Linked DNA regions of Rhinolophus ferrumequinum. The protein of the gene in region 2 interacts with the protein of the main gene of each other region in a biochemical or structural test. Links are inferred from orthologs where the notes say so. Each region holds a gene or a part of one and is shown on either strand. Other genes may lie near its edges.

The links.
Region 1: the proteins of RBX1 (region 2) and CUL4B form a complex in vitro, tested with the Homo sapiens proteins (4 studies listed by BioGRID, with this or other methods). The link is inferred for Rhinolophus ferrumequinum from reciprocal best matches to the Homo sapiens genes RBX1 and CUL4B.
Region 3: the proteins of RBX1 (region 2) and UBE2R2 form a complex in vitro, tested with the Homo sapiens proteins (10 studies listed by BioGRID). The link is inferred for Rhinolophus ferrumequinum from reciprocal best matches to the Homo sapiens genes RBX1 and UBE2R2.
Region 4: the proteins of RBX1 (region 2) and DDB2 form a complex in vitro, tested with the Homo sapiens proteins (2 studies listed by BioGRID, with this or other methods). The link is inferred for Rhinolophus ferrumequinum from reciprocal best matches to the Homo sapiens genes RBX1 and DDB2.

The regions. Positions count from the first base shown.
Region 1 is NC_046284.1:36,157,298-36,164,989, forward strand, and holds the start of CUL4B (cullin-4B), read left to right. Parts: upstream 1-4,679; 5' UTR 4,680-4,811; intron 4,812-6,911; exon of another isoform or gene 6,912-6,916; coding exon of another isoform or gene 6,917-7,692. Other genes in the region: C1GALT1C1 (C1GALT1-specific chaperone 1), read left to right, coding at 6,917-7,692.
Region 2 is NC_046293.1:6,875,393-6,882,321, forward strand, and holds the start of RBX1 (E3 ubiquitin-protein ligase RBX1), read right to left. Parts: upstream 3,023-6,929; 5' UTR 2,943-3,022; coding exon 2,865-2,942; intron 946-2,864; coding exon 867-945; intron 1-866. UniProt on the Homo sapiens protein: E3 ubiquitin ligase component of multiple cullin-RING-based E3 ubiquitin-protein ligase (CRLs) complexes which mediate the ubiquitination and subsequent proteasomal degradation of target proteins, including proteins involved in cell cycle progression, signal transduction, transcription and transcription-coupled nucleotide excision repair.
Region 3 is NC_046295.1:50,521,853-50,528,772, reverse strand, and holds the start of UBE2R2 (ubiquitin-conjugating enzyme E2 R2), read right to left. Parts: upstream 3,008-6,920; 5' UTR 2,417-3,007; coding exon 2,240-2,416; intron 1-2,239. UniProt on the Homo sapiens protein: E2 ubiquitin-conjugating enzyme that accepts ubiquitin from an E1 ubiquitin-activating protein, and catalyzes its covalent attachment to other proteins by an E3 ubiquitin-protein ligase complex.
Region 4 is NC_046294.1:13,949,961-13,957,947, reverse strand, and holds the start of DDB2 (DNA damage-binding protein 2), read left to right. Parts: upstream 1-4,978; 5' UTR 4,979-5,085; exon of another isoform or gene 5,086-5,119; intron 5,120-5,381; 5' UTR 5,382-5,411; coding exon 5,412-5,538; intron 5,539-6,662; coding exon 6,663-6,799; intron 6,800-7,181; coding exon 7,182-7,373; intron 7,374-7,987.

The DNA.
Region 1 (7,692 bases), on a different chromosome or scaffold from region 2:
AATAAATCCATGCCAAATGGTCATTTAATCTACAACAATGGAAGCAAAAATCTATGGTGGGGTAAAGACAGTCTATTCAATAAATGGTGCTGGGAAACCTGGACAGACACATGCAAATATGAAGCTGGAGTACCTCGTTATACCATATACAAGAATATATTCAAAATGGATTAGAGACTTAAATGTGAGATCTGAAGCCATAAAATTCCTAGAAGAAAACATAGGAAGAAACTTCACAGACATTATCCGGAGTAAGATTTTTACTGATATATCCCCTCGGGCAAGGGACATAAGAGAAAAAATAAACATGTGGGATTATATTAAACTAAAAAGTTTTTCACAGCAAAGGAAATCATCAATAAAACAAAAAGGGATCCTACTGATTGGGAGAAGATATTTGCCAATGATAATATCCATAAGGGGTTAATATCCCAAATTTATAAAAAAAAAAAAACTCACTCAATTCAACTCCAAAAAAACAAATAAGCCAATTAAAATATAGGCAGAGGACATGAAGAGAGTTTTTTCTAAAAAGGACATACAGACGGCAGATGTATGAAAAAATGCTCAATCTCACTAATCATTAGAGAAATGCAAATAAAAACCACAATGATATACCACCTCACCCCAGTCAAAATGGCTATCATTAATAAATCAACAAACAACAAGTGCTGGCGAGAATGTGGAGAAAAGGGAACCCTCGTGCACTGTTGGTGGGATTGCAGATTGGTGCAGCCACTATGGAAAATAGTACGGAGGAATCTCAAATATCTGAAAATGGAACTACCTTATGACCCAGTAATTCAACTCCTAGGTATGTATATGGAGAAATCCAAAACTCTAATTCAAAAAAATGTATGCACCCCTATGTTTACTGCAGCACTATACACAATAGCCAAGACATGGAAACCGAAATACCCATCGGTAGACGACTGGATTAAGAAAATGTGGTACATTTATACAATGGAGTATTACGCAGCCATAAAGAAGAAAGAAATCTTACCATTTGCAACAGTATGGATGGATCTAGAGAACATTATGCTAAGTGAAATAAGTCAGACAGAGAAAGACAAATACCATATGATCTCACGTATATGTGGAATCTGAAGAAAAGAATAAATGAATGAACTAATCAGAAACAGTCTCAGAGACATAGAGGAAAAACTGAAGTTTGCTAGATGGGAGGGGGTGTAGGGATAAGGGGGAAGGTCAGGGGATTAGAAAGCACAATAGGTAACCACAAGATTGCCACGGGGATATGAAAGTCAATTTGGGGAATGTAATCAATAATGTTGTAAAGATTTTGTAGGGTATCCAATGGACACTTGTCCCATTAGGGAGACCACCTCAGGGAAGATGTAGATGCCTGATCACTGCACTGTACACCTGAAGCTGAAGCTGAACAATAATGAATATCAACTACAATTTTATATATATAATAAATATATATATATATATGTGTGTATATATATATATATATTTACAAGAATTGGAGTACAGCCTTAGGAATAGAGACAGTGGAAATGCCATGGCTGTGTGTGATGTCAGAGGGATAGTGGATCGGGGGAGGGGGGTTATCACTGTGTGAGGGATATAAATGATAAATGTCTATTACATTGTTTTGTGCACCTGAAACTACTAAAAACAAAATGTCTCCTGTGTTTACCAACATTAAGTACCTGTAGTACGTGTACTACTTCTGCCCAGAAGAAAGTAGATCTTTTTTGTTGAAGAAATCTGGTTTTTCATCTCGTACATTTACCCAGTCTGGTGCAAATAGTCTCATCCTGTTTCCTTTAATATGTTTCTCTGTCCTTTGTGCTCCTTATAAACGGGTAGTTGTGTCAAAAGTAGATTTTATTATTCCAGTGAACTGTTGTAGAAAGCCATGTTCATTTCCCAAAGGCCTTTGCAGTGATTTCGAAAATTCGAGTGCTCACATGCTACTGAATCTCCAATTACTGGAAATTAATGACTTCTCATTATGAATAATGCATACACTTGGGAGGAGGGCTTTACCAAAAATGCATTGTTTCAGTTTTGAATGCAATCTTGCCTTACTTACCTACTGGGTACATGAAGGCAACTAAACTCAAAAGCAACCCTCCCCCACAAGGTGCAGGTTAATATGTTTAGTGAAATGTTTAGTGCAGGTTACTGAAATAAGATGTTTATTTTATGCTTAATATTCCACTACATGGCTGTATCATAATTACTTAAACCATTCTCTTATTGGTGGATGTTCCCCACTTTTGCTATTTTATAAACAACAATGTATTTGCCCTTATACATTTAGCCTTACATTCTGGTGCTTTAATTTCTGGGGGAGAGATTACCTGAAGCAGGTTTGCTGGGCCAAAGAGTATAAATATTCTTAATTTTAACAGATATTAATTGCATGCATTTTTAAGTTAGGGCTATAACGTAGAATGGTGTTCTAAAACTGCAATCACCTAACTGCAAGTCCATCATCACACTAACTTCATTTCCAATGCTAAAAATATTTAAGCTCTGCTTTAAGTAGAGAACTGGGTTTTTAGGCAATCTCCCATTAACAGTGCTTTTGGTGTTGAAAATCCTGAGGTTTATTCTGTTTCTTGTAGCAATATTTCCAGTTTGGTTAACCTCCCTGTACTAGACATAAGATGCATTGTATTTATTTTTTCATTAGTTTCAGGTGTACAAAGTGACATAGTGATTAGACATTTATATACCTCACAAAGTAATAACCTCCATATGTCTATGTCCCATCTGACAGTGTTCAGTTTTTACAATATCATTGACTATATTCCCCATACTGTACTGTACATCCCTGTGACTCTTGTCACTACCAATTTGTATTTCTTAACTGCCTGGTCGTCACTGTCTCTGAATCCTGAGTGTCATTTCTATCTGTCCTTCATTGGTGCCTTTTGGCAAGAAGAGACTGGTTCTCTGCATTCTTTAAAAGAAGTATCTTTCCGTCTTGCCCATTTTGTACCTCTAATTTTGTCCCTTTATTTGCTGGTCTTCAAAAGTAACAAATGCTTGTTATATCCAGTGAAACAACACAATAGGAGGATGTATAAAGAGAAAGTTAATCACCCACACCTCGACCTCCTGATGTAATCAATAGTAACAGCTTGCTGAGGAGCCTTCCACAACTCTTTGCTCATACAAACAGATCAAATATATGTGCACACATAGAAAACTCTGTTCATTTTCAGCAAAGTATAATCATACTATACACATTATTCCGCAACTTGTGTCACTTAACTATATACATATACATATGCACATACATACACATATATCTACATATGTGAAAATAGACAATATATATTATTTAACAAAATACAGTGAATATACTCTGCAGTCTTAAGTTCCTTTCCAGTTCTAAAATTCATTTTTGTATTTCTTTAAAGGACATAACACTATTGTAATTATTTGTAATGAATTGTTTAATGCCTTTCTTCTCTGCTAGACTGACAGCTCCATGAAGGCAGGGGACTAATTTTGTTCACCACTGTAACTCCAGAATTTAGGAGTGCTGTCAGGATAGTAATTGCCTAAAATCGATTTGTTCATTGTCTCAGTGCTTCTTGAAACCTTCAGTCTACTTAAACTAGGTCATTGCCAATAGTCAAATATACGTGTCTTTAGGAGCTCAGGTATGGAGTAAGTCACCACTCAGTGTTATTTGGATGGAAGCTAGTTAACAGTACGTTTTAAATATTTGTAAGAATTTGTACTGTTTTAGCAAAACCCGTCTGTCACAAAAATGAATTTAAAATGGAAGATGGCATGTTTAGTGCAATTTAGGAGACCTAGGTTCTAGTCCTACCTCTGCCATTAATTTCTCTGTGGCCTTTAGAAAGTGCTTTATCCTTTCTGGTCCTGGTTCCTCATCTGTAGCTCTAGCATTCATTAATTTCAAAAACGTGTACTGTCTACTACAGGCTAGCAGCAGGCTAAGTGCTAGTGATACAGGGGTAAAAAATAATAGCCAAAATTCAATGAATGCTTACTTTATGTTTGGTCTTTTGTTGGAGTCATATGCACTATCTCATTTAACCTCCTATGAGATAGCACTACCGTGATATTTTCTGTACTTTACAAAGGAGGGAACTGAAGCATAATGAGGTGAAGCCACTTTTCTAGCATACCAAAGGGAACGGTGAAGATGGATTGGATTCCAGACAGTGGAGCTTCAGATGTCCTTCCAATGACCACAGTGAATCCTTGCCTTCATAATTCGATGTCTATTTCAGTCGCTTCCATTTTGGCCCAAGTCGCTTTCATTTTGGCCCAAGGAGTAACGGAAGAGTACATTTGAGAAACCATTGAAAGGTGTGCCACAAGAGCTGCAACCAGCAATGCTCTTCCTTGCTCTCGCAGCTTTCACGCCCGGAAAATGAAGAGGTGGGAGGTATCAGCAGGTCCTACGCCTGCACACTTCTCTAGGCGTCCCATTGGTACAGGCGAGCGTGCGGATCAAGCCAGCAGGACGCGCCTCTCTGACCTCAGCAGAGGGCGGGGAGAAAGGACGCGCTGCGTGCGCGGTGCGTGGGCGCTGTGCGCGCGCTTGGTCCTTCCGACGTCTGCGCTGGCCGATGTCTCCGCCTGGCCGAGGGCTCGTTTGCCCCGCCCCGCTGCCAGCGCTGTCGCGGCGTCCACTTCCTGGCCCTACCCACCTCTAGCGAAACCAACGAGGTTACACCGCCTGCATCTAGAGCAGCCCGACCAGGAGCGTACCCGAGGGGCGCGCGCGAACGTGAGAGGAAAGCCGTGCGCGGGTGTGTTTTCCCGCCCCTGAACCGTTCTAGACGCTGGTGAGTGCTGGGGGCATCGGCCTGCATCTGGAGCGGCCCCCGAAGCGGCCCAACCCCGCCCTTCTTTGGGGGATGGCCTGGGCCCTGGCCCACTCCCAGCATGCTCTATGCGGGGTACCCGGGCAGGTGCAGTGGGAGTAGTGCGGGCGGTAGACCGAGAGCCGCCTTCTTGAAGGCCCTCTTTGGCCCCGCAATGGGATCTTGAAGTGACCATGTCCTCCCTCCTGGTTTCCGTTTCGTCCTCCCTTTTCTATACTCCACCCCAACCATCTTCACCTTCTAAAACGATGCATCTCAGAAAACACTGATATTGTCTGCTTTATTTGTGCCTGTGTGCAGTTTAAGTTTCCCCCTCTTCTGCACCAAATATGCTATCATGTGCATCTCCCGTGTTACATTTTTTGCCACCCTGATTTAAAAAAACGATCTCTTTGTAATAATTGGTGCAAATAAGCCATAAGTAGTGACCCCATCGAGAAGAATTCTGACATACATATGCATTATTAAGCTAAGAGACACGTATGAATTATCATATATTAGCCAGAAATGAAAATAGCATAATATGAAGTGCGAAAATTCTATCTAAATCAATTTTAGAGTGCATCTGACAATTCTAATATTAAGCAGAGCTTGTGTCCTGTCAATTCTCTTTTCCTTCTTAGAGCTGTGTTTATTGACCAAGTTCTGTGAGTGGCACAGGAAAACCATCCTGCCTCTTTCCCCACCCCCACACCCACACTCAGGAATTACATCTGCCAAGCTATTCCACACCTTGTCCTTCTAGTACAAGTCCAAGTCCATTTCCTGTAGAAGAATATCACGGGATGGTTTCCTCGTAGCAGTGTAGTGATGTCGTGTCCAAAGTGTCAGCTATGGTTAAAAATCCCACAGGTTTTTGTTTGTTTTTTTGATTTGTAGGAAAACAAGGTTATTCAGTAACTTATTTATTAAATTCTCGGTAATATCAGTAAATTCTCAAATGGCTCAGGGGCAGTAGAAGCACTGTTGAGATCATTATTCTGTAATAGAAAAGGCATTAAATTGATGTCAGGAGATCTGATTTCTAGTTCAGTTCTACCACTAACTAACTCTGTGACTTTGGGTCAGTTACTTAAACTCTCTGGACCCTCTCCCTAGCTGTAAAATGAGAGAAATTACATTAGGTAGCTTCTAAGACCCTTTTCAACTTTAAGAGACAAAGGGAGAATCTCAGTAGCTAAGTACACCATTCCTTGTGGAGATAGAGGGGAGATTGTGAAAATCTCGACAGTTCTATTTAATGTTGGGTTTTCTTTTAATTTATAATTTAAGTAAAAGTGTAAACTTTTCTCCTTTTACTTCCCCAAAGAATAAGAAAATGCCTTGGAGGAAGTAAAACTGTTCATTAATGGTTCCCCAGAATGGTGCCCCAAATTATCATTCAAATAATTTAACTATTTTCATTGTGGGCTTTGATTACATGAGTTAGTTGGGATACTGTATTGGAAACCATTTAGTCTTAGGAACAATAGGGTAAATATTAACATACACTGTGTCAATTTCAAGAAACTTGCTTTACATGTACTCAAAACACCTAAGGACAACAATCATCAGTTAAATAAAGCACTAGGTTGAGAACAAAAATGCCAGCACAGATACCATTGATTTGCCAATTGTGGGTGGTTTTATCTGTTCAATTTAAGATTTTGATGTAAAAGTCTGTATCTGAAGAGGTATTTAAATAATATAATGCAAGCTTCTGATACGAAATTCCTTTAAACAGAATGATGGAAGAATAATCTATGTAACATTGGCTACTCGAGTTAATGCTTTTAGTACTTGGTTAATTAAATCCCCATAGATGAAATACAAAAATAGCCTCCCAGAAAATTCTGCAGAGAGGTGTTGCTGCAAAGTTCCAGTTTATACTGAACAGTATAAATTGGAAGCTAATTATTATTAGACCCTTTGGTACTTACATGCAACTAACTTGATTTCAAATTTGGGAACCTTTATTTAATGTTAAGACCAAAATGTAAGTATACATATGGAATACCAAATCAAATCACTAGGTTAATCCTTTTCTTTTAAGTATCCTAAGGATTTTTTTCTTCTTTATAGGAAAAATGCTTTCTGAAAGCAGTTCATTTTTGAAGGGTGTGATGCTGGGAAGCATTTTCTGTGCCTTGATCACTATGCTAGGACACATTAGAATTGGTTATGGAAATAGAATGTACCACCATGAGCATCATCACCTACAAGCTCCTAAGAAAGAAGATATCTTGAAAATTTCAGAGGATGAACGCATGGAGCTCAGTAAGAGCTTTCGGGTATACTGTATCATCCTTGTAAAACCCAAAGATGTGAGTCTTTGGGCTGCAGTGAAGGAGACTTGGACCAAACACTGTGACAAAGCGGAGTTCTTCAGTTCTGAAAATGTTAAAGTGTTTGAGTCAATTAACATGGAAACAAATGACATGTGGTTAATAATGAGAAAAGCTTACAAATACACCTTTGATAAATATAGAGACCAGTACAACTGGTTCTTCCTTGCACGCCCCTCCACGTTTGCTATTATTGAAAACTTAAAGTATTTTTTGTTAAAAAAGGATCCATCACAACCTTTCTATCTGGGCCACACTATAAAATCTGGAGACTTTGAATATGTGAGTGTAGAAGGAGGAATTGTCTTAAGTATAGAATCAATGAAAAGACTTAACAGCCTTCTCAGTGTCCCTGAAAAGTGTCCTGAACAGGGAGGGATGATTTGGAAGATATCTGAAGATAAGCAGCTAGCAGTCTGCCTGAAATATGCTGGAGTGTTTGCAGAAAATGCAGAAGATTCTGAAGGAAAAAATGTATTTAATACCAAATCTGTTGGGCTTTTTATTAAAGAGGCAAT
Region 2 (6,929 bases):
TTAGACCAAGATAGGGGGACAAGAGGTGGAGAATATTCCAGGCAGAAGGAACAGGAATAAAAAAGAGCATGGACACTTCAAGAATGGAGAGCCAGAGCAACTAACTACTAGACTGAGCAGGAGAGTGGCTCACGATGATGCTGGAGAGGTAGATGAGTGATTTAAAACTAAGTGCCTACAATTTTAATTCTAGAAAGTTGACATTTCTTTGCCCCACTTCTGATCTCAATAGAAAACCATTTTAATACCTGGATGAAAAAGTAATCTCAACTTTTTCTAATGTGGTCAACCTTCTTGCCCCTATTGCTATATGGATACTAAGTCTGTCAATAGCTATCAAGTTCACCATGTGTTGACCACCACGTGTGACGGAGTATGTGGAGATTTAAATGAAATTTTAGTGCAATTAATTGCCTATTTAGATGTTGGCAGTGATGTCCTTTTACACATCGGGCTAACATGCAAAATCCTTATTTCTTAGGCTTTTCTTTATAAATCTTGCTGAGCACAAACTAACTCGGATAGAATATTTTAGCTCAAAGTTTACCATTTTTGCCTTTGAGTTTGGGTCCGAGATGGGAAATACAAAGGAATGATCCACAATGCCTCTGGGTCCACAATTCACTGTAAATGTGACTATGCCATCTTTAGATTGAGTAGATATATTCTGAGAGATGGGTATGCCTCCAGTACATCATAAAAACTAATCTGTTTCAAACATACCAATGGACTAGATGCAGAAGACCTCAAGTGCTCTGACTGTGCTTTGTATTTCATTGTGAAGAATAAATAACATTGGTGACCATCAGAAAAGCCACAATCTCTGTAACCTTCTCAATTATCCCTCCCCCCCCCCATTTACTTACAAAGATCCATAATGTGGTTCCTGCAGATGGCACAATTATCAACCACAATGTCCCAGGCCCACAGGGCTACTGCATTCCACTGCAAAAAGAAAAAGGGGCACGATGCAGTCATACACATACGCATACACACACTCTAGGATTTCATGCTGCAGTGGCAAGTTAGCATCTCTTTGGCCACAGGGACCACCAAACAAGAGTCTTTGGATATTACTTTCTTCTTATTTATTGCATTAGATGGCAATAGTAAGCTATACATATGCTCACCCATTTCCCAAACAGCTGAGTACATGAACACAGAAATTAATGTGTCATCTTCTAATTTTACTTTTTCCTACAGCTTAAAATGATCTGGTCAGCTATATCAATGTAAGCAAATCAGGAATAATTTGTAAGTGCTCATTTCAGGTTTAATGAGTAGAGTCAAATTATTGTGCAGGTTCCCTGGCAGTTGCAGGAGAGCTCAATTTCTGCATAAATAAATATCTGCTCTTCAACGCAAGCATGAGTGGGGAGGTGAACCCTAGGAACAGAATGAACTAAGATGATGATTGGATCATAAAATGGGTAATCGTGGGATAAGCTGGATAAAATAATTACCCAGTGTCAGTACACAGAACAAGGTCATCACTTAAGTCTTACAAGATTACTTCCTAACAAATTCTAGAATTCACTAGAATTTTGTTTAGCTCCTACCATCAAATAAACTGATGGGCTCAACTTTTCATGTGAAGACTCTTATATATAGTTAATTCCAGTAGGAGTTTATCTAAAAGTGGCATTTAAGTAATTCAACCTTCTGGCTTCTGCAATTATAAATATTCACAAACTTCCTTTTCATCCACTAATTTGATGCCACTTCCCAAACTGTCATCTCTTTCAATCCAATTTTCAGTGTCTTAGTAACTTCTTCAGCACTTTTTACCAGACAGCTTCAACTTGGAGGAAAAAAATCCTACTTCTATTATTATTCAATATGGCTGCTGATTGTAACTGAACACGCAGTGCCCACAATGAAACACCAAAAATCAACTAGGAGGGGGAATATTGCCAGTGTTTAGCCAGATGTTCTAGGAATAACATCGCCCCTATTTCAGAATCTTCATTTTGAACAGATTTATTTTATCTTAAGTGGAAATCGACACCTTTCCTCCTGTTAGGAAACCACGATAAGGCATTTCATGCAAAAAGACACGTTCCACATTTTTCGCTATCCCACTTTTAGCAGGTCGTTCGCAACTAGTACTTAACCCTCACTCAATGAAACAAGATTTGGGCTCGCATTTTCTTTATAACAAATTCCAACATGGTGTTTTGGTTTGTTTTTTTTTTTTGGAGGGGGATTCTGGATATGACCACATGACTGGGGCGGCTTGTGTGACAATCAACAGATCTCTCAAAAGAGCCAAGAGTTACACTCAAAACAAGACACTAACTCGGCCGGGCTCGGGACACAGAGGGGGTTAATGATAATGGACGCCTCGACTAGGCTAGGACCGGGTCTGGGTCCCTCACAGAGAGAGACCCCGAGGTTCGTAGAGGGGCGGGGCAGGGAGATCACCAGCCTATCTCCTCAGAGGCCTCCAATGCGGTAGGACCTCAGGTTCCCGGCTTTCGCCGCACTGCCCCATCCTCCACCCACCGCATCGCTCCGACTCCCCGCCTTCTACCCACCCCACCCTCTCCTTCCCCACCCCTCCACCACTCCAGTGACAGCTCAGGCGCTTGGCTCCCGCAGCCAAGTCGCAACCCCGCGTATCTCAATAAGCACATCCGTGATTGGCCCTTCAGCCTCTTAGCGAAACCAATAGCGCCACTGACAGTGGACCGCAGGCATGCCGATCAACCCTAAGACCCGCCCTCCGGCTTCCTTTCGTGGTACCCGGTCCCAGGAACGCCCTGAAATGAAGCCCTTTCCTCCGCGCCTCGGTCATCCACGGGCCTGCCAGCCAGATCCGCGCCTCTCTAGCTTCCCTGAGGAAGGCGCTGGCGAGACCCAACCTTTTTCACTTCAAAGCGCTTCTTGCCCGCGCCGCTGTTGGTGCCGGTCGGGGTATCCACATCCATCGCTGCCGCCATTTTGGAAACACACGGTCCGTCGTCCGGCCACTGCGCCTGCGCACCAGCGCACGCCTCGCTCCCCCTCCCGCCCCGGCACCTCCTCCCGCCCCCCATCCCTTACTGGCGCGCGAGGAGCAGGTGGGGGCGGAGCATGAGGCCACGCCTCTTAAAGGCGCTGGCGCAGGTCACCCTCCCTCTTGCGTCGGCGGGGGAGGAGGCGGCGGTCGGAGCAGCTGGGGCGGGGCCGGGCGGGGCAGGGTAGACGTGAGCGAGCCGGGTGGAAACGTTCGAAAGGACTCGCTCTCGTCGCCCTCCCCTGGGAAGCCCCCGGCCACACTCCCTCAGCTTGGGCGGCGGCTGCTTCCTCCGCCGCGGCTGCGACCTGCCGCCCCGGCCCCGCCCCGCCTCTCCGGCCGCCGCGCTGCTGGCATGCCGGCGGCTTTTCCACTGCGTTCAGTCTGGGAAGAGGCTAGGGTGGACGCCCCCCTTCCTGCTGCGGAAACCCGAGTCCGCACACTGGCGGTTCGCAAATCCTCACCCGCTAACGATACAGGCTCGCGATACAGCTTCCCTGGGAGGCCTGAGGCTGGGGAGATCAGGGGCCCAGGGCACCGTTTGGTTTTCTGAGTCCAGTTCAGGAAATGATCAGGATTCGACCGGGAGACAGGAGCTCCCCGAATGTTCTCCCCAGGGCCAAACTGTGCAGGCATTCCCCAGCCCTGCCTTCAGCTGCCCACCTGAAATAGGTGGAAGAAGGAGGCTTGGGAGCCTGGGAGGTGCCATTTCCAGCCCGCCCGAAATACCAGTCCGTCCCAGAATGGTATTTGGTTAAGGTACACGATTTCAACTTCACGCAGTTCAGCACACATTTCCCATTCCCAATTGGTCATCTAACTGTGGGGTCCTTCCTCCCTAATTTTGGTCCTTTTCCCCGCTCCTAGCACTGTGCTTGGATCTGTGGTCGCAGTACTTCTTGAATTTGTTGTATGAGGCATTCAGCTATTTATTCTTCCCGGTCATTCTTTCCCAGCCAAAGCACCTGTATTTTGTTACCTTCGCATTTCTAGACCGGACATCTGATCTAGATAATCCCTTTTGCTTCTCTCCTCTTGCAGAAATATAATTTAGGTCACTCTTAACTCTTACATTGGCTTATTTGAAATCTCATATTTTCTCTTAAAAGAAAATTGGAGCGCAATGGAGTGTTGACTCCGTTGCTAAACGGGACTAATTGCGATTTGTTTCCCTGCTGTAGTCATAAACAGGAATATCAAATCCGTGAAAACATTACAGCTTTAACCAGACTTAGAGAAAAATTGAGACCTTAAAAGCATTATAGGAACCCTACAAAGTTTTTCTTAGCTCAAGTTTTGTTAAATTAATTCCATGTTAAGATTTTTGTCACCTATTTATTGTGTCCTAAAGGCCCCTATAGGAATACTAGAAAACCATAGTAAGTTATTGAGGACATATTTATGCTTCATTCAACAAATTCATTGAGTATGTACCAGGTCCTGTTATAAACAGGAGAGATTCAGTGATAAAAGGAGTCAAATTCCTACTAGGGAAATAATACACAAGTCAATGAATAAATATATCAGAAAATCTCTGGTATCGAGCGCTGTGAAGAAGACAAAACAAGGTTATGAGATTGATGGGAGTCGGAAGCAACATTAAATTGGGGGGTTAGGCCTCTATGAGGAGTGACATTTAAGCTTAAGTCCTTACTATGGCTTAAAAGGCCTTGCATGATTTGCTACCCATTCATTTTACGATGCTTTAAAAAAAAATGCTACATGTACTTTCTATCATAGTTTTTTCATTTTTTGGGTTTATTTTTGTATGTCCTTACTAATAGAGGGGATTTTGATTGTTTTGTTTATTGATAACAAAAACTGGAACAGTGCCTGGTACATTGTAGGTGCTCAGTATGTCTTGAATGAATAATTTTGAAGCTTTTAGAGCAAGAAGAGTGTGGTAAGAGATGTTGGACAAGCAGGCAGGGCCAGATTAGATACGGATTTTATTGCAGATGTTATGGAAAGATATTGGAGGAGTAAATTATGGGAGGGGACTAACTGACAATCTTAAAGATTGTAAAAGTTTTAAAGCTTTGTGAAAAAGGGATTGTAAGGATAAAAGAGAGGAAGCAGCAACAATTTCCAAGTTGTCTGATTTGTATATAGCTATGATGGGAAGATGTATGATCTTAGGGGTGGTTCCATTAAGCTCTGAAAACCTCATCTGCTATCTCTTTTGGAGATTTGCCTTGCTGTGGCAATTGGCATAACATTCTGTATACTACATTCTGCTGCATAAGCCTACGAAAACTTTTTGTAGGTTTCATACAGATTCTTATTCTTCATAATTTCACTCAGTTTACAATGCAATAGGTTATGATTTTACTTTAGTATTATTCCTTTCAGCCATCTGTCCATTCAACAAATATTTCTAAAATATCTGCAGAACCTGCTGTGTGTCAATTACACCATGATCGTCTATATAAAAAGTAATCTGATATTTTAAGTTTTTGCAAAAGGCCCCATTTCATCATTCAACTTATGGTGTGGTAGTAGAGAGGTGAGTCAATTAATGATAATTCCAGTGAGTTTTAGGAAAGGGAAGTATACGGTACTGTGAAATAGAAAGCAAATCTAAGGGTTAGGAGGTAGTCCTCTTAGAGGAAATGGTTTGAGATTGAAGGATGAGCCAGACAAAGGGGTGGAAGCAGTGGTATGCTGGTAAATGTTTTAAAATCAGCTAAAAAAAACCCAAACCTTGATTTGTATCTTAAGCAGCCAGATTTCAAAGTTCCTGAAAGTTTAACAATTGCTCTTGTAAGCTGATGTAAGTTGGCTCAGCACTCACACAAACAGATATGGGAGAAGGTGGCATTCCAGGTAGAGCCAACAGTAGAAGGGGCTGGAAGCTGGAGTATGTACTCGTATAGAGCACTGGTAAAGAAGCTTGGAATGGATGGAATATAAAGAGAAACAGTGAAATGAGTCTGCAATAATATTCAAGAGTCAATAGTTAGCATCTCTTCCATATTCCGCAACATCATGTTGGTAGCTTAAAATTGGCCATAATAGTAGTATTTATACCATGGAAATCAGCAAACACTACAAATCAGGGTTCCTCCTACCACACAGAATTGGTTGTTAAACATTTACCACTGGTAGGGGCCAGGTCATGCAAGGCTGTTCAAAAGATCCATGCAAAGAGTTTTGGTTTTAGTGATAGGAAGCCATTGAAGGGTTTTACCAAGCGAGTCGCATGGTCAGATATGCCCTTTAAAAAGGGTTAGACAGGACTTCCACTTCTGGGAAGATGGAGTAGACATACTTTTCTCTATCTTCCCTCTAAGTACAACTGAAATCCCTGGACATATTTAAAATAAAATAAAATTTAACAATAACAAATAAGAAGACTTTGAGATGGAGAGAAGGCAGACCAGTTAGGGAGCTCAGGATTTGAGGAATGATGTGGTAGTGAGTTTCCTGGGTTTTCTTATTGTCTCATACATCCCCCCCAGACTTGGAGATGAAGAAGCTAGAATCCCCAAAATGCTAATAAGTGCAAACAAAAAAGCCCTAACAAAAGGCTGCTTTTTCAAGCAAACAGAAAACTTTTAGAAAATATCTGCTCTACTCTATCCAAACAACACAGAAAAATTGTGGCCCCACTCCCACCCATGCCAGCAAAGCTGAGTGGGGATCCTAGTCTATACAGCTCACAAATCTGTAACCAGGTGCCCTAACACCTATGCCAGGGTGGTAGAAGCCAATTAGGGAGTTGGAACTTTTATCCTTTCTGGCTGATAAGCCCCCCTACCCCTGTGGTAAGAGGGAACATAAGGGGGTCAAGGCTTTCACTCCCACCCAGCAGTAACAAGACACCCCTGCCCATCCTTGCTGGGGTGGTGTTAGAAGAAACCTAGTGGAGAGTTAGGACTTTCACCATCGCCCATCAATCATGAGGCCACCTCCACTGCAGTGTCAGTAG
Region 3 (6,920 bases), on a different chromosome or scaffold from region 2:
ACACACTAAAAGCCTTGTTTTAAGACAAAAGCAGTGAAATAAAAAACAATGGTTTTAAACCTATCACCAGTGTTAACTGCTCATGACCATAAGTTTGCGTTTCCAATGAAGGATTTTGAGATAAAAGGCCATATAATAAGGAAACAAGTGGAAGAAAATGAAATTGAACGAAATTCTCACACAAGACTAAAACATAAAACTGTAATTTTCATACATTTTTACATATCACAAAGGTAAAAAACTCAAAGATAAAGAAATCTAACACAACAAAATTGGAAATTAAACCATTCTATTTAAATAGGGCTGAAATTAATAAGCTTTTAATTTAAATCAGTGTAGGCTACAGGGAATCCTCTTTATATACTATCTACTCCAAACTGAGAGGATTCTCCACACTCCTTTCACATTTAAGCTAAAATATTACAATTTGAAAAGTTGTTTTTTTTCAAACTCCATTGGAATGAGATTATTCTAACTAGACTGTCAATTGCCCCAAACAATGATACTTTTTGGAAACTAAACTTCATTCCACTAGATTTAGCCAGTAAATTTTGCTAAATAATCCTTTGCTAGAAGTTATATAAATTCCATGTTGTGAAACTAATTTTTTCAGTATCTATAAATAAAAATTTATACTTGACAAAAGACATTCCTCAACTAATAACTTGTATATTTAGTGATTTTAAATATCTGCATCTGAAAGCATAGTGTATCGTGACCACAAAAGATGAGACATACAACTGGTAAGGGTACTGCTATTACACAATATTCTAAATAGTGCTTTTAGTAGGTATTCAGTGCCTATCACAGGCATAAATATTTAACATTCCCCTATCAATTCTTCACATTTTCTACTAAGTTGACCCAACTTCAAGCCTGAAACTGAGGCTTCTACCTTTAGAAGAGAAAAAAACAAAAGTAATTGGGTAGTCCTAAATATACACACCATAACTACATGACTTAAGATCCTCATTTAAAACTTTTGCCAAGATAGCCCCTCCCTTCAAAACAAACTACGATTGACTCACACTGCTCTATTTGACTTAACTTTGGAAATACAAAAATTAAATGCTTTCCTAAGAACTCATTTCCCTCGGTCTCTGCATACACCATTTAAAACATTCAACCTTCAATCTGATCCATCCCTTCCAAAATGGTAAAAAACAAAAACAACAACAACAAAAAAAACACAACACCTCAGTATCTCTAAATTATCTACCATGGAATAAAAAAAAAAATACACCATATTCAAGAATAATAACCACCGTTCTAAAGTCTTGGAAAACAATGGAAGCAATGTCTGTGGTCGCTGTCTGCGGAGCCGTCCTACTCGGTGAAACCATTTCACCTCAGATGATACTTTTAATCTGTGAGACCACCCCATTTTCTAGAGTTAACCACCTGAGCAAAGGGTTTCAATTTCGTCTCACTAAAGTGGAAAACTATCAATCACCCTACATAATAAGTTCCACCCTCTAGATATTTCTACATGTAGGAACAAAACAACAACAACAAAGCCAGTAAAGTTGGTGGCAGGGTGAGGACAAAGAGCATTTTGAAACACTACAGAAGTAAATAGAGAATGAGGACAGAAAGGGGGCTAAATTAAAGTTCCCTCAAATGAATAAAGGAAAGAAAACGCAGGTACCCTTGTTTACCACCCCTAAGCCCCCATTCTTCACTACCGCCCACTGGAATGCAAAGTTGGAACTACCACTCCGTCAGAAGCCCATCAAATCCTCAAGATGTCAGGTCACCAGGCAGCCTCTGGAATGACAGGCTAATACCCCTCCCCCCACACCCCCCAAAAAAGAAAGGTTCAATCCAATAAGTGCAGGTCACTCTGCCCTCTGGGGCAGTTCCAGCCGGCGCAGGGATGGTTCAGATGGGAGGACGAGAGGGGAAAGACAGACCACCTTTCTTCCCTTACACCTTCCGCTGAGGAAACAAAACAAAGACAGCCGCCCTCCTCCCCAGGTCGCCTCTACACTAGCCAGAGAGGCTTTCCTATTTCCCGGTGCAGTCTAGCCTCCCGCCCCCGCCCCCATGACAAAGAAAAGGCACTTGGTGAGCAAGGCCTTCCTGCCTCCACGAGTGGGGGAAGGGGCTGCCGAGGTGAGGAGCCCCCTCCGCTAACCCGCGCTCACACTCGCTCACCCTTGGCCCCGAAAAGAGCCAAAAGCGGCTGGGAACAGAGGCCTCCGCCGGGGAATCCTGGTCTAGGAGGGGATGGGGGTACCTTGAAGTAGCCGCCTTCATAGAGGGTGTTGGGGGGTCCGAAGATGGCAACCTCCCAGTTGTAGAGGTCGGACTCATCCACCAGGGTGATCCGGAAGCCCTCCACCGGTTCCTCCTGCAGGGATTTCAGCTCTAGCATCAGGGCCTTCTGTGAGCTGGTCATCTGCTGCTGGGCCATCGCGGCTGCGGCGGCGGCAGCGCCGGGCCGGGGCCCCAGTCCTCACGCACCGGCCGAGCCGGACCAAGCCCCTCCCCTCCGCTCGCGCTCGGGCCGGGCCGCACCGGGCCCTTGTCTTCACACACCCGGCGGGCCGGACCAGGCCCCAGACGGCCCGTGGGCCGACCCGGGTCCTCCTCACACACGACGCGGGCCGGGCCCTCCTCCTCACACTCCGGCCAGGTGGGGGGAGGGGTTCAGGGAGTTAAGAAAATTCGCTCCCGGTCCCGGGCCTCCCCCCCCCGGAGGGGGCCTCAACTTAGGGGGGGGGGAGAAGAGGTGGAAGCCCAGGAAGGCGGCGAAGGGCAGGCGACGGTGAGGGGAGGGGGGCAGGCCGGCCCGGGAGCGCCGCGCTCGCTCGCCCTCTCGTTCTCCTCAGGGGCCGCCGGAGCCGGAGGGTGCGCGGGGCCGAAGGGCGGGGGGAGCGCAGTGATCGGGGGTCTCGCGGCGGCAGCGGCGGCGGCGGCTGCGCGTGGGGAGGGGCGACAGCGGAGGAGGAGGAGAAGAGAGAGAGCGCCTCGCGCCGCGGGAGCGACGGAGCGGAGAAGAACGAGGGAGGGAGAGAAGGAGGAGGGGCGCACGCCGGGAGGGGGGAGGCTCTCGGCGGCTGGCGGCCCGACGCGCTTGCGCGCGCCCCTCCCTCCCCCGCCCTCCTCGCCCTCCTCCTCCTCCTCCTCCCACTTCCCCGCCTCCTCTCAGTGGCCCAGCGCGGTGGCGGCGCTTTGTGACGCCAGAGCTTGTACCCCGCCCTTAAAGGGCCGAGCAGCTGTAAGGGCGGAGGGTAGCCTCAAGGGATGCCCTTGGCCCCAAAGTGACGGTTGGATGCCCTGGTTCCTTAGGCGCGCCCGGGAAGGGACCTCTGGTCTTAGAGCCATCAGCGCCCTCCTACCGCATCCACAGGCCTCCTCAGCCATCCTCCCAGGAGCCCTGGTCCCCTGCAGGCCCCTCCCCGTGACACACAGTCCGCTGTCCCTACACTCTGCAGATGCTTGACAAGGATGTGCTGAGAATGTGGGCCTTATCGGTGGGAACAAGCGTCCTGACATCTCTTCTGCAGGTCCAGCCCTCACGCCAGTGTGTCTTTGGAGGGCAGTGTGTGGCACCCATTTGGGGGAGTGGGTGAGGCCAGTTTCCATTGAGAAATGCGGAAGGCAGATAGGCCAGCTTTCTACTTCCCTTCTTAACTACAAAGAGGAAGCTTGTGGGAAATAGAAAATAATAATACTGATTGAACCAAGGTTCCTGGCCCTTCTCTCTGTGATTTGAGGCAAGTGCTCTGGCTATCCCTCAGTTTACCCATTTGTAAAATGAAGTACTGTGGGTGAACTTTGACCCCCTACAGAGCCTTACAGCTTGAAGGTCCAACCTGGGATTGAGGGACTTTTAAGATAATCATGGCTGAAGTGAGATGTGGAGTCTTCAATCCCCGTGATTTAGATAGACTGCCCCTTTCTCTTAGGAAAGCATGTCCTGTGATAACTGTCTAAATGTTTTCTATTATAGAAAAGCCAACATACTGTGAAAGTTCCAGAATTGGGGGATCAGAAAGATCCTTTGTTCCAACCCTGGCTCCACCATTTACATTACCTCTTCCTTTTCCATCAGCTTCTGTAAAAGAGGGTTAATTATATGTAATATAAGCAATTGTAAAGATTAATTGAGATTATCTGTACACAAGGTTTAGCACAATGACTGGAACATGGTAAATGATCCATAAGTAGGAACTTTAAAGGAAGAAAAATAATTTAAAGGCATAGCTGTATTCTGGATGTGATCCCTCCCACTGTTTAATAGACTTTTTCACAACAGGTTTAGATTTCTAGAAAAATTGAGAAGATAGTACAGAGAGTTCCCATATTTTCCCATAGGCACCCAATTTCCCCTATTATTAACATCGTACAGTAATATAGTACATGTATTACAATTATGAATCAAAATTGTTATTAACTAAAGTCTTTACTCACATTTCCTTAGTTTTTACCTAATGTCCTTTTTCTGTTCCAGGATCTCATCCTGAACACCACATTATATTTAGTTTTCATGTTTTTCACTTTGACATTTTCTCAGACTTTCCTTGTTTTTGATTACCTTGACAGTTTTGAAGAGCACTAGTCAAGTATGCTGTAGAATGTCCCTCAATTAGGATATGTGTTGTTTTTCTCATAATTAAACCAGGATTATAGGGTTTTGGGGAGAAGATCACAGAGGTAAAAAAAAACAAAAAACATTTTCATCACATCATATCAAGGGCACATAATGCCAACATGCCATCAGTGTTGATATTGACCTCACTCACCTGACTGAGGTAGTGTATCAGGTTTCTCCATTGTAAAGTTACTCTTTTTACCTTCTTTCGATACTGTACACTTTAGAAGGAAATCTCTATGCACAAACCACACTGAAGGAGCCCTTTCATTTTTTTGTTCTTTTTTTCTCAGAAGTGAGGTTTCAGTATTTTAATGAATCATTCCCTAGCGCCCAACTCTATTCAGTAGGCCTTGAGGCCAAACTCCACTGGAATTAGAGCTCACTTCAGAGAAGGGGGACTGTTTTAGTAGTGCAGCCTCACCTCCCAAAATGATGGTATGTGACTGATTCTGACTTCCTCTCCACCAGTCAATTTAGGGACAAGAAGATTGCTGACCTGGAAACGTGGGAGATGATGTTGACACCTTTAATAACAAGACTGTAAATAGACAAATAGGCAGAAAGTTCATCTTCAAAGCATTTCACCCACATAAACTCATCACAGCCCCACCCTGACCCAGAAGTTGGTAGATCCTTAGCCTAACCCACTGGAACATAGACCTGGCACCCAGATCAGAAGCTGTGCCCTGGGCTCAAATCAACTCACAAACTCATACTAAATATCCACAGTGGGCATGGCCCTGAGCTGGGTGACTAATAAACATACACCTGTCTAGGAGGCTCACAGCCTAGTGTGTTACTAATGCATTGTGTACTTAAGGTCCTACATTCTTAGGTCAGAGGAACTAGAATTCCACAGAACTTGTCTCATGCCTTTTTATCCTAGCAGGTAAGACAGTGTTTATTAGTAGGTTGCGACTGTGTCTTATTCATCCCTGGATCCTGAGCAAACAGCACACGTCTGACATAAAGTAGACACTAAGTCATTGTTCTCATGGGCTTGCAACTAAGGACAGGAAGACAATCATTAACAAAACAAAACAAAACAAAAATCCCAAATTGGGCAGCCGGTTGGCTCAGGTGGTTAGAGCACAGTGCTCATAACACCCAGGTCGCCGATTCGATTCCCAGATGGGCCAGTGAGCTGCGAACTCCACAAATAGATTGAAAACAACGACTTGACTTGGAGCTGATGGGTCCTGGAAAAATACACTCTTCTCCAATATTCCCCAAGAAAAATTTTTTTAAAAACCCCAAACTGAACCCCACCTTCCACCTCCATGTTTTATAGGATCTCTCAGACACATAGTAGGTGCTCAAGATTATAAATTCCACAAGGATGACACGTTTTATTCATAACCATATACAAGCTACTACAATGTTTGGCAAACAGTGGGTACTCAAAACATGTTTGTTAGAAGAATGAATGGCAGAAACAGCTTCCTAGACCTTTCTCACATTGTTTCATAATGACAAGTAGAGATTGACTTTGCTGATTGGTGCCCTCTGGTGGTAAAGAAAACAGGATATTTACTCTAAGCACAGCATCACCTGATACTCTACAACCAGGGCTCTTTTGAAGAATCTATTACCTTTCTCGCAAAGAGAAAAAATAAAGGAAATCTTAGTAAGATAAATGAGAAGGACTGGTATTTGCTTTAGAAAGATTCTGACCTTATAGAATGACTCTGTTTAGGGGGCCAACATTTTTTTCATTCTGCATATGTTAACTAACACATGTAAATCTTGAATAGTGCACTTAAGGAGCACTAATCTTCCTTTAATAGCAACAGCTAACATTTGCTGTGTATCAATATGTGACAGGCTCTTTATATGCAGTATCCCACTTAATTCTCACAAAAATCTATAACATGGCTATTTACTGAGTATAATAAAGCTTAGAAAGGTTAAGAAAGTCACCCAATGTCACTCAGTGAGTAAATGGCAGAAACTCAGGTTGAACCTTGGTCATCCCACTTTAGTGTGACTGCTCTTAACCGCCAAGCTGTAATGTTCCTCATCTAACGTGCCCACAGCAATGTGTGCATATCATAACACCCCAGTGCTATACTACAATTATTTGTTTACATCTTTCTCCGAGCATCCAAGGTGCTCTTAAGAAAGAGACATTCATTCACTCAACAAATATTTATCGAGTGCCTGCTATATGACAGACCCTGTGCCAAATGCCAAGAATACAATAGTGAATGAAACAGAAATGACTGGGCCTTACCTCATAGAGCGTACATTCTAGTGGCTGAGACAAAAATAGACAAAAGCAAGTAATCAATAGACAAATAATATTGACAGTTTCACT
Region 4 (7,987 bases), on a different chromosome or scaffold from region 2:
CTGAGGGAAGAGTCTTTACTTGCCCTTCTTGTAGGTTCTAAGGGTTACCGGCAGTCTAGCAATCTTTGGCATCCCTTTAGTTTCATCATATCACTCTGATCTCTGCCTCTGTCTTCACATCATCTTCTCTGTGCCGTCTCATCTCCCTCTGCTCAATCTTATAAGGACACTCACCACCGGATTTAGAGCCTACTCAGATAATCCAGGATGAGCTCATCTTAAAACTCTTAACCACATCTGCAAAGATCCTTTTTTTCCTAAATTAAATAACATTCATAGTTTCTGGGGATTAGGAGGTGGATATACCTTTTCAGAGACCACCATTCACCCCACCACACTGGGCTAGAGGAGGCCACAGCTGTTAGCCTTGGAAATCTAGTTTTAAAAAAAGCTTCTTGAACTTAAAAAGCAGGCTGCCTTTCAGAGTTTCTCTTCATCCCATTTCACAAATATGTCTCTTTGCAGAATGAATTAGGGGCCTAAGTGCTGCCAACACAAATGTGGCCTGGTCTTCTAGACTGCCTATAATTATGACAAAACTCTCAGATTCTGGGGCCTTATGACATGGGATAGTCAAGCACAGAGAGTAGTGTACAGTCAACGTGTCTGGGAGGGTGCCCACGCAGAGTGGAGGGTGCCCACTCAGAGTACAGCGTGTGGGGCAGGAGGCGTGTAGCGCTGTACCAAGGTACCTCCCCTGCCAAGCTATTGGCTTCCCCAAGAAGAAGCACAGTTACCCAGGCAGCTTCCTGCCTTCCTCTATAGGGACAAACTTAGCTGGGGTTCCTTGGGCAAGTTTTATGTCACGTGCTCCTGGAGTGAACATGTCATAGTAGGGACAGGAGCCAAAGCAGGGCAGTGGGAAGAGGAAAATGTAAAGGAATGCAAATGTAGTTCTCCCGGTCCCACTAGCATGTGACTCACCCACTCATAGGAAACTGGCTTAGCTGTTACACAGAGAGAAAGAACCATTTTTATTTCTGCCACTTGGGATTTTTGCAGTCTTGGTTGGCATCGAAAGACTGAGTAAAGGCACTGACAACTCAAACCCCTGGTTTCTGATTCTCTGGTGTCCCCTCTTTCCATGATGGCTATCAGACTGGTGAGAACTCCTGCGAACAGCAAAGAGCTTCCTCACCACCTTTATCAGACCTTCCCAGTAAAAAGCATATCACCTGGAAATCATACAACTTCTATTTGTAGAACACTTCACAGTTTGCAAAGTACTTTCACATATATTATTTCAGCACACCGGCAATTGCGCTGAAAACCTGGCTGCCGAGAAAAGTTTCCTGGCATCCTGTACCTACAACAGTATTTCATGACAGGATGTTGGTTTAGTGTGGGAATGGTGCTTCATCCCCCACAGTAAAGACAGAAGGTGGGTTTTTTGGTATTTGCACAGCTGTCTGACACTTCCAAAGCTACTCAAAATTGTATTTTTGAAAATGAATGCTATTCCCAGAGGGTGGGAGCCATGCCTCCACTAACATTATTATGAATGTATTCACATTTGGGCATTTAAGTATGCGTTGGAGATGCCAAGCAACAAGGACTCTGGATGCTGTATTCCGTCTGTTTCCAATCCTTTAGGAGGAATTTACATTTCAGTTCCCTGCAAACTCTGCAGAATCCTTGAGGCTGTCATTTGCAAACCACTGGATGCAGTAACTGTGTGGGAGAAGCCTGCACACACCATCCGCGTGGATTAAAGATGGTTTTGCAGACTCAGCAGAGTGTTTGGATCCATAAACAGCTTGATCAGAATCCGAGTCATGTATCAGCCTGCACCAGGAAAGTGATTCCTACTAGATGGAAATTTCCCACAGAAACGTCCGAGTTCAAAGCAGTCACCGGTTTCTACCCCTTTAACAGCAAGTCACTGGCTCATCGATTTTAAAGCCAGAAGAGATCTGAGAACACCCAATCCCTCCCCTTGATTTTATGAAGAGACTTAGGCATAGAAAAGTGAAATCATGAATCCAAGGTCACATAGTCTAAGAAAGAACAATGCTCTTTCCACTGTGCTATATGATTTGTTCCAGAAAACATCTAAGCCACTTATTGTTTTGCAGATCAAAGAAACTGGCATTAGTTAGGGTCATGCCCATGGTCTGCCCAGCTTCCAGTGTGAACACGAGACCTTGATTTGCCATCACCAGCAACTTTTGAACGAATTGCCTTGTGATGCCTTATGCCTTGACACTACTCAGGTAGTGTCACAGATAGGACCAAAACACCTATAAACCGGGTTTCATGGCATGGTCTTTCCATGACAAGAGACCAAAGCAGTTTTGCCCCATTCACCTCGTTATTAGATTAGCAGAATCAAAAAAATGTGTATTAAATGCTTTTGTCCACCCTGCAGCTGATGGATCACCAAATGGGAATGGACAAACATCAAGCCCCTAGGCAGACATGTTGCAGTGAAACAAAGCAAAACCCAGGGAAAGAATGCTTCAAAGCACAACCTGAAACAAAGCGCTTTACTGGCCTGTGTGAGGCAAGTTTCCACTGGTCACATGTAGCGTGTTTAATCCACCATGGAAAACTCCTCAATCCTAAAAACAGATTCTGGGGAAACCTGGCATTAAGCAGGACGTTCCCGTTGCTCATTAATCCATCATGGCTAACTATCGCCGCTGCTCTTCCATTTCTTACCCCCTCTGCCTGCATTCCTCTCCCTCTCTTCCCTACCCCAATCTCTCAAGATTCAGTTTAAGTGTCTGAATCTGGGAAGACTTCCTTGACACTACCCCTTCTTTATTCCACTTCAAGCTCAGTTAAAGAGTCCTGTTTCTGTCCCCCACCCCACCAGACCCAATGCTTCCTCTCACTAAGCTTATCAGACTCTACGGTAGCTGTAGGTTTACTTGTCTATTAAAAGGCACACTCCATGTGGCCAAAGGACATTTTTCATTTCATGATTCTCTTTGACTGGAATAGTTCCTGGAACAGAGCAGGTTTTTGAGAAATGTCAGTAGAATAAATGAAATTTGAATTCTTTTGCCTGCCATTCAACTTCGCCCTTTATTTGGCCTCTCTTACTTTGCAAAACTGATCCCCTGTGTAATCAGTTTTCTCATCTTTAAGCTGTCTCCTACCAGACTCATAAATGTCAATGCCTCCAAGCCAAATACCATCAGGGACACTCCTGTCCACAGTTGAACTTTGGGTTTAGTGCTCATTGCAACAGAGGATACATACCATGGGGAATGGTGGGACATCTCTGGAAGAAGGTGTTAGAAAGAACTTATAGGACTGGCTTCTGCCGAATGATTTGGATAAGGGTTCAAAGAAGTGGGGCTTTGCTCTGGATTGCAGGCTGGTAGGAAATGAGCGTAATTCTATGATTGGGTATTGATAAATGCTAGCTAAAAGGTGGGAGGAATGAAGCAAAGCCAAAGCTGTGGTTGACAAAGAAGCCGCAGTCATTCATTTTAGCCAAAATAATAGGGGGTGGCTTGGTCATTTTTGTGATTTGGACAATGTTCATACTTTTGCCTGTGTTCAGATATGACTGATCATGTTTTTGCGTTGACCTATCATGGCTAGGGTTTCCGGGCAGGACTTCCCGCCCGTTCTCAGGAATTTTTTTTGCTTTCCCATTCCCGAATCCTGAGATATAAACTGTTTTCTGTTCTCCATGATAAATCGTTTCCACAAAGTGATGGCCGATACTACCAATGACCTGGGTTCAAGGAGCCGGTTTTCCCGATTTTCTGACCAACTTTTCTTGGGATTCAGGAATGGGAAAACGAAAAAAAATCACGAGAACAGGCGGGAATTCCCGCCAGGAAACCCTACGGTCACAGAGTGGCCTTGTCTGGTGTTGTTTGGTGAAATTGATTTTGACAGAACACCAGGCCAGCTCCCAGATGCCAGGGGCTGCTTTTCTCTTATAACCCACACCCATTCCTAACTTGTATCAAGCTGTTTCTCTGCCTAGGAGGCTCTTCTCCCTCCCCCAGCCAACTCCAGGAAATCCCAGTTTCCCCGTGAGGCTTTCCTAAATACGTGCTCCATTCGATGATCTTTTCTGAATGAATCTAAAAGTCTTGGTTGGCATGCCACAATTTAGTAGTCAACTGTGTTCTATCTGGAATTGTGTGACTTGTTTCACATTATTTTTCTTCTCTTCTCAGTAGGCTGTATCCCTCCAGAAATGAGCACCCTGCTGAGGTGAAACTAATGGCTGGTCTGAGTAAAAGGGAGCCAGCTTGCTTTTGTAACACAGCTCTGAAAACACAGTTACCAGACAGCAGGGGAGAAGCCACCAGCCTGCCCCCTGCGTGGCTGTCTTTTGTAACACTCTGAGCTGATCTTCCCATCAAAAACGCATTTTCGAATTTTGCTTCCGGGGCATTCCTTTTTTTCCAAGAGTTATATTTTGAAATGTCTTTCATCTTTACCTGTCCTTGAGCGCAGGCTTTACTGTTAATGCATTTTTGTTTCCTCTTACCCTACCGAGGTGCCTGGCACCGGGTTTCGCGCGTGGAAGAAAAGGCCCAGCAGTTCCCAACTAACCCCAGCTTCCGCCTGGCTCGTCGCAGAAAGTGGGGTGCATCCCTGTCGGGCCAGGCATGCCAGCGCAGCCTCACCTGTGAGTCACTGCCTTGGCGTTTGGCAGAAGTCGGGCACAAGGCCTCTAAGCCGGGTTGGCCCGGCACGCCCTCCAGCCCCTCATTGCCCTAGGCTGCGCCCTAGGCGGACATGCAGCAGGTTTGGGGAAACCTTAGTTAATAGCTGCGAGTTTCAACCACTCTCCACAGAGAAGCTGAGATTCTACTAAACCGGAGAGATTAAATACTCTATACTGATTGCAAAGTTTGTAGGCGGAAAGAGGTCCGTTTCCACCGCTGGGAAGTGGCCAGCTTTCTACAAAGCCACCTCCCACTAACTGTACGGATCAGCCAATCCCGAAGCCCAAGCGGGCATGATCACCAATTAAAAGACAGAGAGGGCGGAGCTGAAGCCTTAATACGTACCTGGCCGGCTGTGGACCCTCTGAAGCTGGCAGCGCCGCGTCTGAAGAGGCTTCAAGTGGGGTGGCCTGGCACTGGCTGCCATCTTTATTCCTGGCAGGTCAGCGGACTTTCGACTAGCTCAGGACCAACACGTAGGTGCTATCCCATTTCTCTAGGGAGCCTATGAGCCCCACCCCTCACACACTTCCCAGGTATCCGCGCGCGCCCCCGCCTTCCCGGGAGAGGCGGGGCCTCTTCGGCAGGGGCGGGGCCGGAACTAGACGCCAATTTGGAAGCCTTGAGCCTGTTTGGCGGGAAGTTGGCATGTTTGGCGGGAAGTTGGACCAGTTCCCTGGTCCTCGCCTTTTTTCTCTCCAGAGGCTTCTCAATCTTCCCTCCATAATCTCTGCATAGGGTATAGAACCCCTTCGCAAGGAGGACGCGATGGCTCCCAGGAAACGCCCAGAAACCCGGAAGACCCCCGAGGTGGTTGTGTGCCCCAAGAGCAAGAGGAACAGAAGCCCCAGGGAGCAGGAGCCCGAGGCCAAGAAGCTCTGTGTGAAGGGCCCCGGTACTGCCTGCGCCTGCTGCTTTCATAATTCTGTCATTTGGGGTTCTCACGCAGGAGGCTGGAGTGGGGGATTGGTGCGTCTAGGTTCCTGAGGCTGTTGCAAATTTCAGATGCCTCGAGCTGTGCAGATTGTCTGCAGGGCTTTTGACACCAAAGAGCTTGGGCTTACCCTCTTTCAGGTGACAGAGGCAGATGAGCTCCATTACATCAGCCACAGCGGACTTTTCAAATTCCTTGTTTGTATCTGGATTTTGACACACTGAGGACTACTTAAAATAATCCCACCTTGCCTGGTGGTGTGAGTACTGAATTTAAATAGTCACGGTTATTAGTTGTATGTCCTTCGTTTCAGCTGTGAGAGCCTTCAATTTCCTCCCTTCCTTAGAAAACACATTCTCAGGTTTATTGAAGCTAGAACCTAGGGCTATAAGGAGTGTGAGGGAACTCAGAAAGACTGGAGCAGGGGGTTGAAGTGTTTTTTTGTCCACGAAAAGAAAGAATTGGTTATCAAGAGGCCAGATTCATAGAGATCAGATCTTCAAATACATCTTGGTAATCCAGAGTTGTTTTATTCCTCATCTAAGTGGCTCTGCCTCCCCAAAAGTAGCTTAGTTAATTTAGAGCCATGCCAGACTCTCTGGATCCTGTTGGTTTTCAGGAGAACAGATTAGACTTGGGGCCAACAACTGGTCACCTCTATATTATTTTAATATAGGATTTAAAGATACTTCTTTTCCCAGTCACTTCTACGCTGTCCTAAACTTTTTATTGTGCATTATATGTGATTTAATTTTGTCACCCAACCTTAGCACAAGTTTTCCAATCCAAACTGGGAAGAGCTCTGCATATACTTTATTCTTGTGTGTTTCTTTGGCTCAGCTCTCAGGACCTCTGCACCATCATATTTAGTTTCACTTCAGAATTACTATTTTGGGGGAGGGGCTGAATCCCTACTCACTATTTCTTGTGCTGGGTGAGACTGAGCGGACCATGGAAGAGGCTTGGGAGGTGATGAGAGAGATTGACTATGCCAAAGGAAACAACAAGGCTTTCTTTCTGGGATTTCGGCTGAAAAGCCTTTCCTGAGTGAGATCGGAGAGGAAAATATGTGTTCTGCTTGGCAGGTTCTAGCAGAAGATTTGACTCAGGCTGCCTTTGGGCAGGGTTGGCTAGCCTTCAGGTCCCGCCACCATGCAGGAGCGTCGTCAGGGCCCTCCATCACCATAAGCTGGGCAAAGCTGCTTGGCCATCATTACAGCAGGTGAGGCATTTCCTGGCTGAACTGCTCAAGGGTTTGCTCAAGGGTGCCTTTTTACAACTGGATGCTCCAAAATTAGATGCTAGGTTGGTTCAGTGGTTTGTCAGAGTGGTCAGATCACACCCCCTTGGGGATTGGCCTACTGGGCACTCAGCCAGGTAGAAGTCTTAGGCTGTAAAGGTCCCAGCTGAAGCGTACCTGCCCTCTTACTCTCCAAGATTAGTTCATACATAACTGCAAATATTTTCACGCACAGAGCCAGGCAGTGAGTGTTCCTTTGGTGGGAGGACTTGGCCCTAGGGCTCATCGATGGAGGAGGCAGAGTTTGGCAGTTTATTTAGGACTTGGGTTTTAATTCAACTTAATTCTTTTCTTTCTGTGTCAGTGTCTCCAGCAGTCCTTTGTGCACTCTCTGGCTTCTTACCGGATATTCCATAAGGCTGCCCCCTTTGACAGAAGGGCCACATCCTTGGCATGGCACCCAACGCACCCCAACACCCTGGCTGTGGGTTCCAAAGGGGGAGATATCATGCTCTGGAACTTTGGCATAAAGGACAAACCTACCTTCATTGAAGGGGTGAGCAGTTCCCTGTGCCAGATAATTGTGCTGAAGAAGTGTGGAAGGAATGAAAAGTAATCCAGTAAAAAGGAGATAATTGGGAGCAAAAGTAACTTGTGGGTATTTTCAAACAAGTAAATGGTAATGTTACTCAAATCTTTATTGAGTGCCTGCCCTTAAAATATTAGAAGGTATAAAATGTTGATCACCCTCCATGTGGTAAGTCACCACATCGAATAGAATAGAATCTAAGCCCTTTCATAACTCTTGACCTCATCTTGTACTGCTGTATTTTCTCACTTCCTGTGCTTTATCCACACTGGCTATTTTTATTCCTGAAACTGGGTCTTTTTGCAGTTGCTCTTTGGCTGGAGTGCTCTTTTCCATGGTCTTCTCATGGCTGGCTCCCTTTTATTATTCAAGTCTCCCCTCATCACACTTCTTCAATGAACTCTCACTGACCACTCTGTCTAAAGTAGTCTGCATCCCACGCAATCAATCCTTGTCTCATTACCCTGCTTCACTTTCCTCCCCCCACAATGTTTATCAATATTTTGAAATATTTTACTTCTGTACTTACCTTGCCCACTTGAAAGTAAGCTTCATGATGGCAGGGACCATGTCTTTCTAGT